2 linked regions of the Schizosaccharomyces pombe genome follow. The protein of the gene in region 1 purifies or fractionates together with the protein of each later gene. This does not show direct contact. Each region holds a gene or a part of one and is shown on either strand. Other genes may lie near its edges.

Region 1 (8,462 bases):
CAAGCTTTTTGCCCTTATAAACAGGTTTAAAGAGGGCTCCAAAACTCTCATCCTTCCCAATTCCACCTTTATTTATTTTGGGTTGGCTTTTTTGAGGGTCTCCGGCAGTATTTACCCCCATCGAACTCACTTAGTTGATAATGGCGGACGGTAGCAAAATTCCTCCCCAAAAATATACTTATGGAGGAAGCGTTAGTAATGCAAGGATAGAGATTTCTTATTACTTTGGGCTTATTTTTTAAGTAACATATATAATTTTAAATAAAGAAATAAAACTTATACGCAATTAAGATTATTGAAGCTTAACTATTTACCACTTTATTCTACGTACAAAAATTATTTCGTTGATGAAAATCTATACCATAGAAAGCAACTTCAAATCTGTTTATATAAGTTTTGAAGAGTCTGCGACGCACAGACAGAGGAATTTTGTATAACTGAACAAGAACTAAATTAAAATGTGTGGAAACTTAAGATGGTACTCGTACGCGACTTACTGCTGGCTATTTAATAGCAAGGATTAATGCATTTAGTTCAAAATATTTGTAACAAAAAAATATCCAAATGGTACACAGAAAGAATAAAAATAACAAAAGAATGGGCTACAAAAAATATAATCAATCCAAATGGATACCGGCATATTCATCGTAACCACAGGACAGATTGAGATTCTGGAGAGCTTGAGTAGCAGCACCTTTAAGTAAATTGTCGATAGTAACTACAATGACTGCACGCTTTCCAGAAGAGTGCACACCAAAACCACCAACTGAAACATGATGCTTGTGTGCGTTGTCCTTGACCAAAGGTACATCTCCTTGAACATGAATTAAAGGCTCACCATTATAACGGTCTTGGTATAAGTTACGAAGCTCACGGGAAGTTATACTTTTCTTTAACGGAACATTAATAGTTAAAGTAATTCCTTGGAACCATTGAGCAACGTGAGGAATAAAGGCGACAGGTTGCTTTAAACGATAAGAAATTTCACGTTCATGGATGTGATCAGTTAATGAGTAAGGTATCAAATTGTTTGTCAATACATTCAAGTCATTCTTCGGAGAGGGCTTAGTGCCAGCCCCAGAATAACCAGATACACCAAAAATAGAGGGCTGGCCGTCAATCAAAGAGAGTATGGGAGTTAAACCGACTTGCGATCCAGTAGCGTAACAACCAGGATTGGAAATACGTTTCGAGTTACGCAAAGCTTCACGGTCATTTAGTTCAGGAAGACCGTACTGCCACGAGGGCTCAAAACGGTAGTCCGCACTTAAATCAACAATGACACTTTTACCATTTGCAGACGTTAAAGCATCGACATAAGGTTTGCATACACCGTTGGGTAGGGCCATGACCCAAGCATCAACCGCTCCCTCTTCCTCTAATTTTTTAACATCATCTGTGGACAAGTTGACATACTGAATTTCTTTCTTAGTGTAGCCAGGAAGTTTGGTGCCTTCCAACTCACGAGAAGAAACATGAGATAATTCGAGATAAGGATGAGTGTTAATCAATCCAATCAAGTTCTTTCCGGTATAACCACGGGCTCCAAGGAGAACGACTTTTGCTGGCTTCGATGAGACCGCCTTCAAAGGTTTTTGGGTCTTCTGAGCCTCAGCAGAAAAAAATCGTTTTCCACCCTTTAAAAACAAAGAACGATTCATTTTTTTGTTTTTTGAAAATAAAGAACTAGTTGAGTAACTTCGTTTTTGATTGATCTGTGAAGAGGAAGGGTTGTTGGTGGTAGATGAAGCAGTAGGGGGTTTAGTGGATTGGGTCTGAATGATAGCATCGGCAAATGGCTTGTCAGACTGAATGAACTTGGAGATTTTATTCAAATCTTTTACACCGTACCAAAAGTAGTAAAAATTATTAGCAAACAAAGTACCTTCGCTTTTAGAGAAGAACCATTCCAGATTCTTGGCTGAAGGTTGAAGACGCCATAGCAAAGAAGGGAAGTCTGCTTTTAATGTTGTTAATATGCTATCAACAACATTGTTTAACCAATTATTGTCGGCGGCACCAAAAGCTAAGAGTACTGGCAAGGATGAGTCGGTGGTGTCGACAATAGCAACAGATTCATTGAAAGAGTCACTATAAATACGAAGTTTTCTGTCTTTCAGAGTATCCTTGAACTGTTTCAAGCTTTCACTAGGTGCGGCTAAAGAATTTTTTTGAATGATCAAATTTTCTAGAGCAGCGTCTGGAATGCTATCCAACGAGTCATGTTTGTTGATGACAAAACCGCGACTAATCAAAGTACCAGCGCCAGATTCCGTAAAAAGCTCTTTTTGCAAATCCTTCGTACTAATAATGGCTACGGAAGATGTACGGGGAAGAGTATCAAGTAACTCTTTGATTTCTTTGATTTTGAGCTTCGTACCATACTTGACCCATGGTTGCTTCATGAGGCCATCGTACTCCCTATCCAAATAGATGCTGCTAATTTTTTTCTTTGTTTCACCGTTGATAAGTCCACCTTTTTCATTGAGATAGACCACCTTTAGAGGCTTCAATACGCGAGCAAGCTCACCAGCAGTAATGTCGGCGTTGACATTCAACAATTGACCAGAAGCAGTTTCGGCCATAGACGTAAGAATAGGGAGGGTTCCAGCACGAATACTGTGTTCAATAGGAGCTTTGTTTACCTTGACAATCTTGCCAACATACTTGTATTTTTCTTTGTCGAGATACTCTGCCTGAAATACACCACCTGTAATGGGACGAGCACGAGTTCCCAACTTTTCCAAAGCATCTACAAGTTTCGCATTTTCCTCTAAGAAAACTTTACGAGCTACAGAAAGAGTCTCGGCATCGGTGATTCGAATACCATCGCTATACTCGGGTTCAACATTTCTGCTGGCAAGAATTTTGTTTAATTGGGGACCAGCGCCATGCACAACGATGGGATAAAGACCCACATGATTCAAAAAGGCAAGACTTTGTGCCAATGTGTCTAATTCGTCGGTGATAATGGCACCACCAACCTTGATAATAGCGAAACGTTGAGCTTCGAAGGAAGTAAAGTATCGTAGGTATTGCTCAACTTCACGACGGCTTCCGATGGAGGAAAGAATTCTAATGATGGCATCACGATCTTGTTCAATTGGTTTCGCGAGTGGGTTTAACGGTTGTTGTTGACCCGGGGCAAAACTGCCTTGAAAACGTTTGCTTGCAATGACTGATGCATTGGAACATAGTAAGCTCCTTTTCGTACAGTGTTTCGCTCCATTCCGTACAAGACCGGACTTGACAATTTGTTGCAATTCAATAAGCATTGCCAAATTCTAGTGATATTCTATGATTTACTGTAGTTGGTAGAAGGCAGTTTGGTTGGTTTCAAAATTGGAAAATCATTTGCTTCGTAAACGTAGCTATAATTCGTTAAAATTTGATTGCTGTATCTAGGGATTTGCTCTGGAGATAATCACTCAAAAAGATGAGATCGATAATGTTACTTGTTGGCTGAAAATTACATCGGAAACCAACAGTTTACATGAAAGTGCTGCAAACGTGAGACATGGACATTTAATGAATTAAAGCTATATAAATGACACTGTAAAAGCAACTCATTTGCCGACAATGAATCTATTTGTATATACATTATTTAATACTAGTCCTAACTGACACAGTACAATATTCATTATTTCTATGCAAGCCAGTTCAATATCTTGATTTATACATGAAAGCATTCTTTTGAAACAATATTTTGTTTTCTATTTGATTTCGCGTTGAATAGTCCCAATGACCCTGATGAGACAAAAGCACTTATCATAAAATTTATTATCTAAGATAATCTCGTTAAAAAAAAAAAAAAAAAAAAAAAAAAAAAAAATTTGGCAAGAAGCCCTTCTCTTTCGTTAAAACTTGTTTCGCTTTATGCAATACTGTAAGTGTAAGCTTGTAATATAGCGAATCTGTGAACTCATTGTTCATTTCATGGTAGTTGTTGATTTCACAAGCATGCTGAGTTATCAATATAGTAACACAATTGGTTTTATTTCAGCTCGCTTGAATATAGTGTCAAGAGATAATTGAATAAACAAAAAAAATAACTACACGTTTTTTAGATACATTTTATTTACAATGTATTGGTTCTTTAAAGAATGGGTGGTAAATAAAAAAAATATTACAAGGTCGAAAAAAATTCATCCCTTTTCATTAGTTCTATAATTAAATGCTAAACCCATGAATATTCTTTTACTGCTAATCAATTAACGATTTTGGTATTTAAAAGCTATTGCTGATAAGTATTCTGACGTTCTGTATCAATATTACCATGAATAACATAAGAAAAAGAAAGGAAATAGAATGTTTATGAGTAGTTTTTAATTTTTGACTTGTTTTATCATATTTCATCAACGTACTAGCTTGTTTGCAACTGAACTCTAGTGTACGATAATGTAAAAATTTTCCATCTCGTCGAAAATCCGCATACGATATATTACGGCGCCAATCTCGCAGTCTGAGAGAGAACTAGATATCGGCTATATGCAATCTCACCCTGAATATCTAAGAAATTACCAGTAACTTGTGGGTTCCTTGTAGTCGACTACAAAAACCGTATTTTTGATATATTTAGTCGAGAAGAATTATTCAGTTTGCAATTGAAAATGTCTTTCAAAAAATTTCCTCGTCATTTACTATCCATTCGTGATCTTAGTCGCGGAGAGATTGTAAAGTTGATCGATCGGTCTTCTGAAATTAAACAAGCTTATAAGCAGAATTTTCAGAATCGCCGTTCTGTTCAAATGAGTGGTTTGTCGTCTCAGAATGTCGCCATGATCTTCAGTAAGCGTAGCACTCGTACTCGTGTATCAGTCGAAAGTGCTGTCAGTTGCCTTGGCGGCAATGCCATGTTTTTAGGTAAAGATGATATCCAATTAGGAGTGAATGAGTCTTTATACGATACTTCAAAAGTTATATCAAGTATGGTTTCTGGTATTGTTGCTCGCGTAAACAAATATTCAGATGTTGCTACGCTCGCTAAACATGCCTCTTGTCCTGTTATTAATGGTCTTTGTGACACGTTTCATCCTCTCCAGGCGTTAGCAGATTTACTCACTATTAAGGAAACTTTCAAAAGCTTTGACGGTTTAAAAGTTGCATGGGTAGGTGATGCCAATAACGTTTTACATGATTTGATGATTGCAAATGCCAAGGTTGGTATTCATACTAGCGTTGCTAAGCCCAAGGACGTCAACGTTCGCGACGATATTTTATCAATCGTTAACGAAGCTGCGAACGAAAACGGTTCTACTTTTGAAATTGTTAACGACCCCAAGGTTGCTGTTAAAAATGCTGATATCGTCGTTACCGACACTTGGATTTCTATGGGTCAAGAAGCTGAGAAGGAACAACGTCTTAAACAATTTACAGGATTCCAAGTCACCGGAGAGATCATGAAGCTTGCCAAACCTAGCTGCAAATTCATGCATTGTTTACCCCGTCATCCCGAGGAAGTGTCTGACGAGGTATTTTATGGAGAGAACAGTTTAGTTTTCCAAGAAGCAGAGAACCGCAAATGGACCACTGTTGCTGTCTTGGAGGCTTTGCTTGTCAACCGTGGTGAAATTCTTCCTCCTGCCTCAGCCTAAACTGAAATCCTTAATTTCATTTTTATCTGGGGAATGTGCAAACAATGCCAACTTTATAATTTTTTTTATTGGGCGTGCAAATTGTGATATTCATTTTTGAAATTTTATGTACTTTGTTTCACAAAAAGAAAATTGACTTTTGAGAAAATTTTTTAATTGACAATTACTTTTCAGATTTTTTATGCGCAGGACACAGGCTTCTAAAGACGTACTTATACGTTAAAAAAGGGGATGGATCAATTTGGCTCATTAGTCCAACAAGCTTTGTGTAAAATTATTACCCGCTTAATGCTATCCTCTTAACTAGATATTTCAAGGTATCAAGCAATCATAGTATTAAGCACTATTATATGCAAAATACAATTTAAAATTAATAGAAACTACAAATAAGCGCAACACTCATAAGGAAAAAGCTTTGGGACAATAAAGCTTTCGTCAATGCGGAATCTACGACAGAAAGAAAACTTAGTGTAGGCATCGAAATTTATTATATTTCAAGCATGTATGCTAGTAAAATAAAACGTAAACTCATTGATTCAAGAAATCTATAGAAAAAAAAGATCTGGGCAAGTAGAGTGTGCATCATCGAAATCCGGCTTCTTTCATAAACTTATCGTATTGCTCTTTAAGTGCTTTGCTTTTATCAATAAATGGCTTTTTCTTGTCTTCCGCCAATTCCTTCCACGCCTTTGATGCATTTTGGGTCTCTTCAACGAGTGTGGAAATGGCTTCTGGAATACCTAACTCTTGACGTAGCTTGGGATTGTTTCGAAGCTCCTTGTAAAAGAGGATAAAAGCAGAAGAAGGTTTTTTAGGAACATCTGGATGACGAAGTCTGTAATAGCGACTGCCCGTGCTGTGAGCCTCCTTCGAGCGACGACGATTTTCACTATCGATTTCTGTAGGTGTAAAGGATCGTAGAGTCTCCATAAAACGCTTTTTCTCAGCATCGAACTGCTCCTGGAGTTTGTTTTTATACTTTTGGATCTCATCGGCAGTCAAAGCTTTGTATTTTTGACGAATCATCTCAAAGCGCTCAGGACCATTACCAGCACCTTTTGTTTCAACCAACATTTGATTCCAAATGGTTTTCAGCCTAGGGGGGATCAACTTCTGTAATCCATTCTTTTCGGCAGAAACGAGAGTAGTGTGAAACTGGCGTATTCTAATTGCAAATACCATTTTGTGAAAAATGATCAAAGATAATGGTGCTTGGTAAGTTAGGTAAGGAGGCATTGCGTCAAACAGACGCATTCAAGTACTGAGTAAATATCGGGTACGTAATATTGTACAACAGACAAATGAGTAGTAAAAAGACGGTTTACTCAATTTTTAATAGCATAGAATAAAGGCGTTAAAAGCAGTTTGTTTGTTTCTTGTAACCACAAAGGTAGTTTCTTTTTCTAAGTGAAACACTTCGACATTCAACATAACAAAGCGTTGGTCCACAGAATCAAAAAGGTACTCCAAAATGAAAAGGAAACAAACGCATCTTCATCTCTTGAGCAACAAAACAGCACTCATTTCTATACTTTTTCCAACCTTCCTTATATACCGTACCTCCCAGCACTCTCATATTCATTACTCACCATAGACTATATTGTAGCTGTGTATTTAGTATAAAAATGTTTCAGTGGAATCGTTGCTATTCACTATTCATTACAGTGTATTCTTTCAGCACGTTATTTTAATTTAATAAACCGAAATAACATGCCCCGGTTCTTCTTTTGTCATATTGGCATCTTGGGTTACTGAAGAGATGGGGTATACGTTGCTTCAATCTCATTAGTTCTAGAGCCCCTCTATACCCCGATTTCTAAACGTCAATCCAACTTAGTTTTAAGGCTGTCGGCCTAATTTAAAGTTCCTTTCTACAGCTACAAAATTTGTATTAAAGGGACGAGAAGCCCCCGGGTATTTGTTTGTTTTTAATAACATCTAGTGTGTATTAACTTTTCTTGGCTGTGTTTAACCAAGTCGTAAGTGTCTGCATTTTTTCGGTATTTCTTGCCGCTTACCACAAACTATAGTACCTTTGAAAAGTTGGCTGTTTTCCAGTAAATTTGCATCGCTTTGTCCGAGAAAGGAGCCTTTTAGCGCCATTTTGACAAAGCTTGTTTAAAACATCTCGTTCGATTACCACCAACGTGTGATTTTGTGATTGTACCCAAACTTTGAAATCCTCACAAATAATTCGATAACTATGACTGTTACTCCCATTAATCCTACTAATCAGCCATACAAATATGTATTTGTAGTCATCGGCCCTGCCGGTTCAGGAAAAACGACGATGGCTAAGGCGGTATCTGAGAAATTGGGTTTTGAGTATATTGAGGGTGATGATCTACACCCCAAAGCAAACATTGAAAAAATGAGTCAAGGCCATCCTTTGAATGATAACGATCGTTGGGGTTGGTTGCATAACTGCGGAGGTGCTTGTGCCATGGAACTTGACAAGGAATCGATAAAGGGAGTTGTGTTAACCTGCTCGGCCTTAAAGCGTAGTTACCGTGATATCCTTCGTAGCTCTTTGGAGCATCGTCCTGCAATTTTGCGCTTTATTTATTTAGCCGCTTCGAGAGAAACACTTATTAAAAGAACGACTAGTCGCAAAAATCATTACATGAAGGCTGACATGGTTGAAAGTCAATTGGCAATCCTTGAGGCTCCTACCGCTGATGAAAAGGATGTTATTACCATTAGCGTTGAGAATGGAAAAGAACAGTCAGAAGAAGAATGTCTTGATATCGTCCACAAAATGGTTAATGAAAACAAGCAACCTTAATGAGTCTTCTGCTTCTAAAATATTTGCACGCTCAGCTCACGTGTCTCTGTTTGTTTATTGTTACTACTTGATACGTTTTTGTA
Region 2 (6,287 bases), on another chromosome or scaffold:
TTTAAAGGTTTTACGAGAAGGTAATTGGCCTTTAATTCATTCCTATTCTTCTTTAAAATGTCTTAATTGAGTTTTGAATATCTGCTTTTCTATTTTATTACTGCTGAACATATTCTTGACAAATTGAGGCTTGCGAGTGAGCTGATCTACGTCTAATTACTGATCAGAGGAATAGCTTTTCTGTCTACTTCTAGTCACGAGTATCGACTAAACTGGATGTATCTTGTTTGAGTCATTTTGCGCAAATGTCTTGCAATCACAGTTTATTTCGGCTTCTCATTCGTTTCGTTGACTTTAATTTAAAGCGATTTTAGCCTCTTTGTTAGTTTTTGTTTAAAATATCTTCGAACCTTTATTATTCCTTAGTATACTTTTTCAAGCTGACCTTACAGAACACAATTATTCTTATCCACAGATTTGGAATCTTTGGAACCAACTTGCTTATCTAAAGATACAATATATCAATGGAAAGGTATATTTTCATTAATTTTTTTCGGCTTATTCTAGCTTGTGATTTCATTTACACTTCGTTTTGCTGATACAATTCTAGTTGTACAAACGTTTGGAGACAGGCTCAGGCTTCGGCAGCGTGTCTTAGCTACAGCCATCGTTTTATTAAGGCGTTACATGCTAAAAAAAAATGAGGAAAAGGGTTTTTCTTTGGAGGCGCTAGTGGCTACATGCATTTATTTATCATGCAAAGTGGAAGAATGCCCTGTTCACATTCGCACAATTTGCAATGAGGCTAATGATCTCTGGAGCCTAAAAGTTAAACTTAGTCGTTCTAATATTTCCGAAATAGAATTTGAAATCATTTCAGTCCTTGATGCATTTCTCATTGTTCACCATCCCTACACTTCTCTTGAGCAAGCATTTCATGATGGCATTATCAATCAAAAGCAGCTTGAGTTTGCTTGGTATGTATACTTCTTATATTGAAAATCACAGTCGATTAGATTTTTCTAACGATCGAGGAAATAGGAGCATTGTTAACGATTCATATGCCAGCAGTTTATGTTTAATGGCACATCCTCATCAACTTGCGTATGCCGCTTTATTAATAAGTTGTTGCAATGATGAAAATACAATTCCTAAGCTTTTGGATTTAATAAAGAGTACTGATGCCTTCAAAGTTATATTATGTGTTCAACGCATAATTTCTATTTATTATTTTGAGGATATTGAATAACTTCTTGAATACACTATACATTTAGAGCCTCAAATTTTGTTAAAAACGAAAACTATAATTAGATTTTTCTTTATTGCTGATTAATGCCTGAAATTATGTTTTGTTGTCTGGTTTAAAACCGTGTATTATATACGCATTCTCGTTCATGGTGTTATGTCTAAATGAATAAATAGAGCAGTATCTGTGTAATAATATCCAAAATCGAATGGTTATGTCACAAACGTAAAGGATATATTAATGCTTTATCTATGAACCTCAAAAATTATTCCTTAATCACCTCATAGAAATACTCACGTTGTTATAAAATAGCTCATTCTTGTAGCTTCCTGTGTTAATTGAGTTGAACATTCCCCTATTAGGTATTTCTGAAAGGATATTTTTGATTTCAGCAAATTTGGTCCGGCAATTATATAATGAAATTCATAAAGTAAAAACCCTTAAATCTTAAATCTTAAATAAAATAAGCCGTGTCAAGTTTTTAAAACCTAGTTTTGACATAATACAGTGCAATCAACAAATTGAATCGAGAAAGTAAATCAAGCAATTTACGAATGGGGACACCAATATCCCATATTCTATTCTTGATATTTTGCCAACAAAGAAGATAAAGTTTTCACATCAGCGCCGACGATTCTGTCCAATTCTTGACCCTTACGAAACAATACCATGGTAGGCAAGGCATAAACACCGTTCTTTTGAGCAATATCAGAAAATTTATCTGCATTAACAGCAATAAAAGATGCTTTCTGATTTTGTTCGCTTAATTTTTCAAGAAACGGTTTGAGGTATTTGCAAGGACCGCACCAGTCTGCATAGAAATCAACGACGGTAACTTTGTCAGCACTAGTAGCAATTAGCAAGGAGATCTATTCGAAAAAGTTTTATCTTTTATTTTTTACTATGATATATTATTGACTATACATACCTAATTCGAGTATTGTAATCGCCAAACGATTCAACTGCGTTCACCTTTCTCAAAATACGAGAGCTAGTAAAACTTCTGCGCAGAGCAAAAGATCTCATATGCGGCTTTAAAGAGTTTGCAATAAATCCACGCATTTGAATTATAATTTTGGTTGACGGTTTTAATCAAAAATTTAAATAGGTGAAATTATAGCACTTAGTAAGCTAGAACTACCGCCAGGCGGAGAAAAGTGCTTAGTTGCGATCATAAACATTACTCTTTAATACAATATTTTTTAAATTATTACAACATTAATTCAATAAAAAAAGATTAAAAATTTGGGAAACCAATAAAAAAAATTATAATTTAGCATCATTTTTCCCTCTTTATTATATTTTATTAGAATCCTTATTGGAAAATAGAAGCTTTCAAAAAATCTGTAGCCGAACAATTTGAGAGATTTTTTTTTTTTTTTTTTTTTTTTTAATAACTTTAAAAAACACCTAATGAAGTTTATAAATCCTTACCTTTGTTGATTAAACTAAAGTTACTTTAATTTGTTCTTAAATATACAGCCCAAAGATTTTTGGATGGATTTTTTGTACTCACGATTATAAAAACTAGTACTTCAATCTTAAGATTACATAAAACTTCGAAAATCCGGTTATCAGAATTAATTTGAAATTAAGAAAGAATATCATTTTTTTTTAATTTTTATAATAGTAATTTGGCTTTATGCAGACTATTTATAATTAAATGAATCTCTCTTGCTTTTAAATAGAGCAGTTCCTTAAAGCCGATGTCACTTTCTCATAAACAAAAAAAATTTAAAACTTCTTAAATAGAAAAATGAGAATCAATACATTGAAATGGCAATTTATAAGCATATTGATTATACTTTCCTCCTTAAAAATGTAATTTATATAGATTTACATGTATATTTCCTTTATATATGTTTAAGTGGCACCCCTATCAATGTGGCCGTTTGGTCTAGTGGTATGATACCATCTTAGGGTGATGGTGGTCGTGGGTTCGATTCCCACAACAGCCCATGTTTTTGCTACATAGCATTTTGCAGTTAGTTTTATTTAAACAACATTTTCTTTTAGTCTTACTAGAGATTTTGCGTTTATGGTAATTACATTCGATGTTGTACTGAGGAAGTTTTGCTTCGCATGCTACTGCTTTATATACTTTGATATCAGATGGGAATGCGCAAGCAATTGTTGTTATATATTGACTTTTCTGTGCAAAACGTCTCTTTACGACTACTTTACTCATAAATTAACAAGAAGTAATCAATCTTATCGCTGAAATTCATGATCACCAAAACGTCTTAAGTTTAGAAAAGCTTAAGCAATATTTTTATACAAATCAATAGATTCACATAAAATGAAACAGAGCAATAATAAAGCGACTCAATTCTCATTTCGTTACTCTTAGTATTAGTAAAACAGTAAAAAGATTTCGTTTATAGCGTTAAATAAAAGTATGATTTTTTATACATAATTTTTCTTTATAAATAAAGTATGCAACAACTAGCAACTTCCTCCACGAAGAGCTAACACAAGATGCAAGACGCTGCCTCCTTCTAAATGATAACTTTCAGCATTTTTATCATCAGCCCTACGTGATGTTTGTTAGAATCATTGTATGGATGTTCCCATAGTGCTTACATTTGCTTTCCAGCGTAGATCAGACGCTGCTGTGAAGGAGGGATACCCTCTTTTTCTTCAACCCGTTCTTTGATCCTAGAAACCTTGTCATTTGGATCAATGTCTAATTCGATCTTATATTTTGGTTAGAAACATAGATGAATTATAACTGCATATAAATGTTTTCAACATTTAAAACACGAACCTCTTTCCCTGTCAATGTCTATGATTATATATTAGTATACATAAAAAAGAAATAAATTTATCTTACTTTTACTTTGATAAGCATGCTAACTTTTATAAACGCTTTTCTGAAATTGTTGTGGTTAAACGCTAGCAGTTCCTCTCTCTCCCTATAAGCATTCCCCTCTGGCTCACCTCGCGAAAAATTGAATTGGTCTTCAAAGAGGGGACAATGAGTTTTCAGAGTATTAATATAGATAAATGGCTGTAAGTTTTCAATTCTAAAATAAAAATTTTAGGTTCTGCTACATGTTTAACCTGTTCAAAAATTTTTATTATCTAAATGATACCAGGATTTTGTCAAATCAACAATTTACAAGCACTAACATAAACTAGAAAGAACGCCGTAGCTGCTCAAGGATTTAAAAAAATGACACCCGTTCAGGCTAATGCCATACCATTATTTTTGAAAAATAAAGATCTGGTAGTTGAAGCAGTAACGGGTTCAGGCAAGACTTTGGCCTATTTACTTCCTTGCTTCGATAAAGTCACTCGTAGAGATACGGACGAAACAGGTTTGGGTGCATTAATTGTTGCACCTACTCGTGAATTAGCTACACAGATATTCAATGTTACCAAAGAGCTTTTGGCGTACCAACCAGACTCTTTGGATGGAGGGAAAAAACTCGTTGCAGATATGTATATTGGGGGAAAGGGAACGCTCACGAATGATTTAGCTTCATTTCGGGAAAAAAACCCCTCAGTGGTGATTGGTACACCCGGTCGATTGAATGAAATGCTTTCTCATATATCCAGTAAGCATTTGGAAATACTAATATTAGACGAAGCTGATACCCTTATTGACATGGGATTTCAGCGTACATTACAATCCATTATATCTCAACTTCCGAAACAACGTCGAACTGGGTTGTTTAGCGCAACAATGAATGACACTGTGTCATCATTTTTAAAAATTGCTGGCCTTCGAAATAGCGTACGTGTTTCTGTGACAGTTACATCAAAAAAAATTGATACAAGAACACCGTCAAGTCTAGCTATACAATCTTTAGTGATTCCTCCCATATACAAAGTACAATGTATGATACATTTGCTTTGTACGATCGAATACGAAAAAGCAATTGTTTTTTTTTCTTCTTGTGCTTCTGTTGAATATTTTAACTCCCTTTTTCTCACTTATAAATTACCGTTTGAAATAGTAGCTTTGCATGGACAGCAAGTTCAGTCGAATCGATCACGTAATTTTGAAAAATTTAAGAAATCAAATAAAAAAACAGTTCTTTTTACAACTGACATTGCTTCCCGGGGTCTTGATATTCCAAATGTTGACTTTGTTCTTCAGCTCGACCCGCCTTTGGATCCGAAATCTTTTTCTCATAGATGCGGCAGAGCTGGTCGCGCTGGTCGAGCGGGTGTTGCAATAGTTTTGTTAAATGATGGAAGAGAAGAAGAATATGAGGAATTGTTAAGGGTTAGGAAGGTACCTATTACTCGTATAGACACTCCAATTGAAGCTTTAGATCTTTCACGACTTAAAGTATTAACCCACGAATTGAGAAAAATCGTATCCAAAGACAGAGATCTATATGATAAGGGATTAAGAGCGTTTGTTTCACATGTTCGTGCGTACACAAAACATCATGCGTCGTTTATTTTTCGTATCAAAGATTTGGATTTGGGACAGTTGGCCACGGCATACGCTTTATTACATCTTCCAAAAATGCCAGAGTTAAAAGACACCGAAATATCCGAAAATATTTTTAAAAAATTTGACATTGATTATGCAACCATACCATACCGTGATCAAGTACGCGAGCAGGCCAGACGACGCCGATTGGAAGTCGAAAAAACTGAACCCAAAAAATTAGCTCGGCCAGCAAAAATTAAGAACGAAGCTTGGTCCAAACAAAAGGAAGTAAAGGAGAAGCGTAACACCCGACGTGAAAAAAGGAAATCCAAGAAAGAATTTTTGAAGGCACAGAAAAACGAAGCTTCTAATAACCTGAAACAAGAAATAGTATCAAAAGCTGGAGCACAAGAAACGGAAAACGATGACTTAATAGATGAGGAATCGGATGCTTTATCTGAATTAGAAGAGGATTACCGACAGTTGAAAAAAAGCAAAAAAAGAAAAAATCAAGCATCCTTTGGATTTAGTATGTAGCAATGTATTTTTAGGGAATGGAAAAAAAAACGGGGTTTTGGAAATATAGGAAAGTCTTTTAGTATTTTTAAATATTTGAGAACTTGGAAGATTAATTGGAGTTGTTCAGCAAATATTAAGTTCTTATTCATCAGCATTTATTTTTGAATTACTGCATTTGTATATTTACTTTAC

Evidence for each region. The genes of interacting proteins can lie anywhere in the genome.
Region 2: the proteins of arg3 (region 1) and trx2 purify together in Schizosaccharomyces pombe (affinity purification with western blotting, with the first as the bait; one study listed by BioGRID). This does not show direct contact.

What each region holds. Positions count from the first base shown.
Region 1 is NC_003424.3:2,269,402-2,277,863, forward strand, and holds arg3 (ornithine carbamoyltransferase Arg3), read left to right. Parts: upstream 1-4,519; 5' UTR 4,520-4,610; coding exon 4,611-5,594; 3' UTR 5,595-6,115; downstream 6,116-8,462. Other genes in the region: DNA-directed RNA polymerase III complex subunit Rpc2, read right to left, coding at 1-121; arg11 (N-acetyl-gamma-glutamyl-phosphate reductase/acetylglutamate kinase), read right to left, coding at 618-3,275; cmb1 (cytosine-mismatch-binding protein 1), read right to left, coding at 6,177-6,776; idn1 (gluconokinase), read left to right, coding at 7,798-8,379. UniProt on the Schizosaccharomyces pombe protein: Ornithine carbamoyltransferase involved in the synthesis of arginine from glutamate via ornithine and the urea cycle.
Region 2 is NC_003423.3:2,316,220-2,322,506, forward strand, and holds trx2 (thioredoxin Trx2), read right to left. Parts: upstream 2,312-6,287; 5' UTR 2,249-2,311; coding exon 2,115-2,248; intron 2,059-2,114; exon of another isoform or gene 2,033-2,058; coding exon 1,765-2,032; 3' UTR 1,190-1,764; downstream 1-1,189. Other genes in the region: cyclin CycC-like Srb mediator subunit Srb11, read left to right, coding at 393-472, 551-917, 982-1,189; ubiquitin-like protein modifier for cullin Ned8, read right to left, coding at 3,632-3,719, 3,770-3,882, 3,954-3,971, 4,020-4,037; ATP-dependent RNA helicase Spb4, read left to right, coding at 4,164-4,198, 4,328-6,113. UniProt on the Schizosaccharomyces pombe protein: Disulfide reductase which serves multiple functions in mitochondria, protecting mitochondrial components against thiol-oxidative damage as a thiol-disulfide oxidoreductase, and supporting urea cycle and respiration in mitochondria in a manner independent of active site thiols.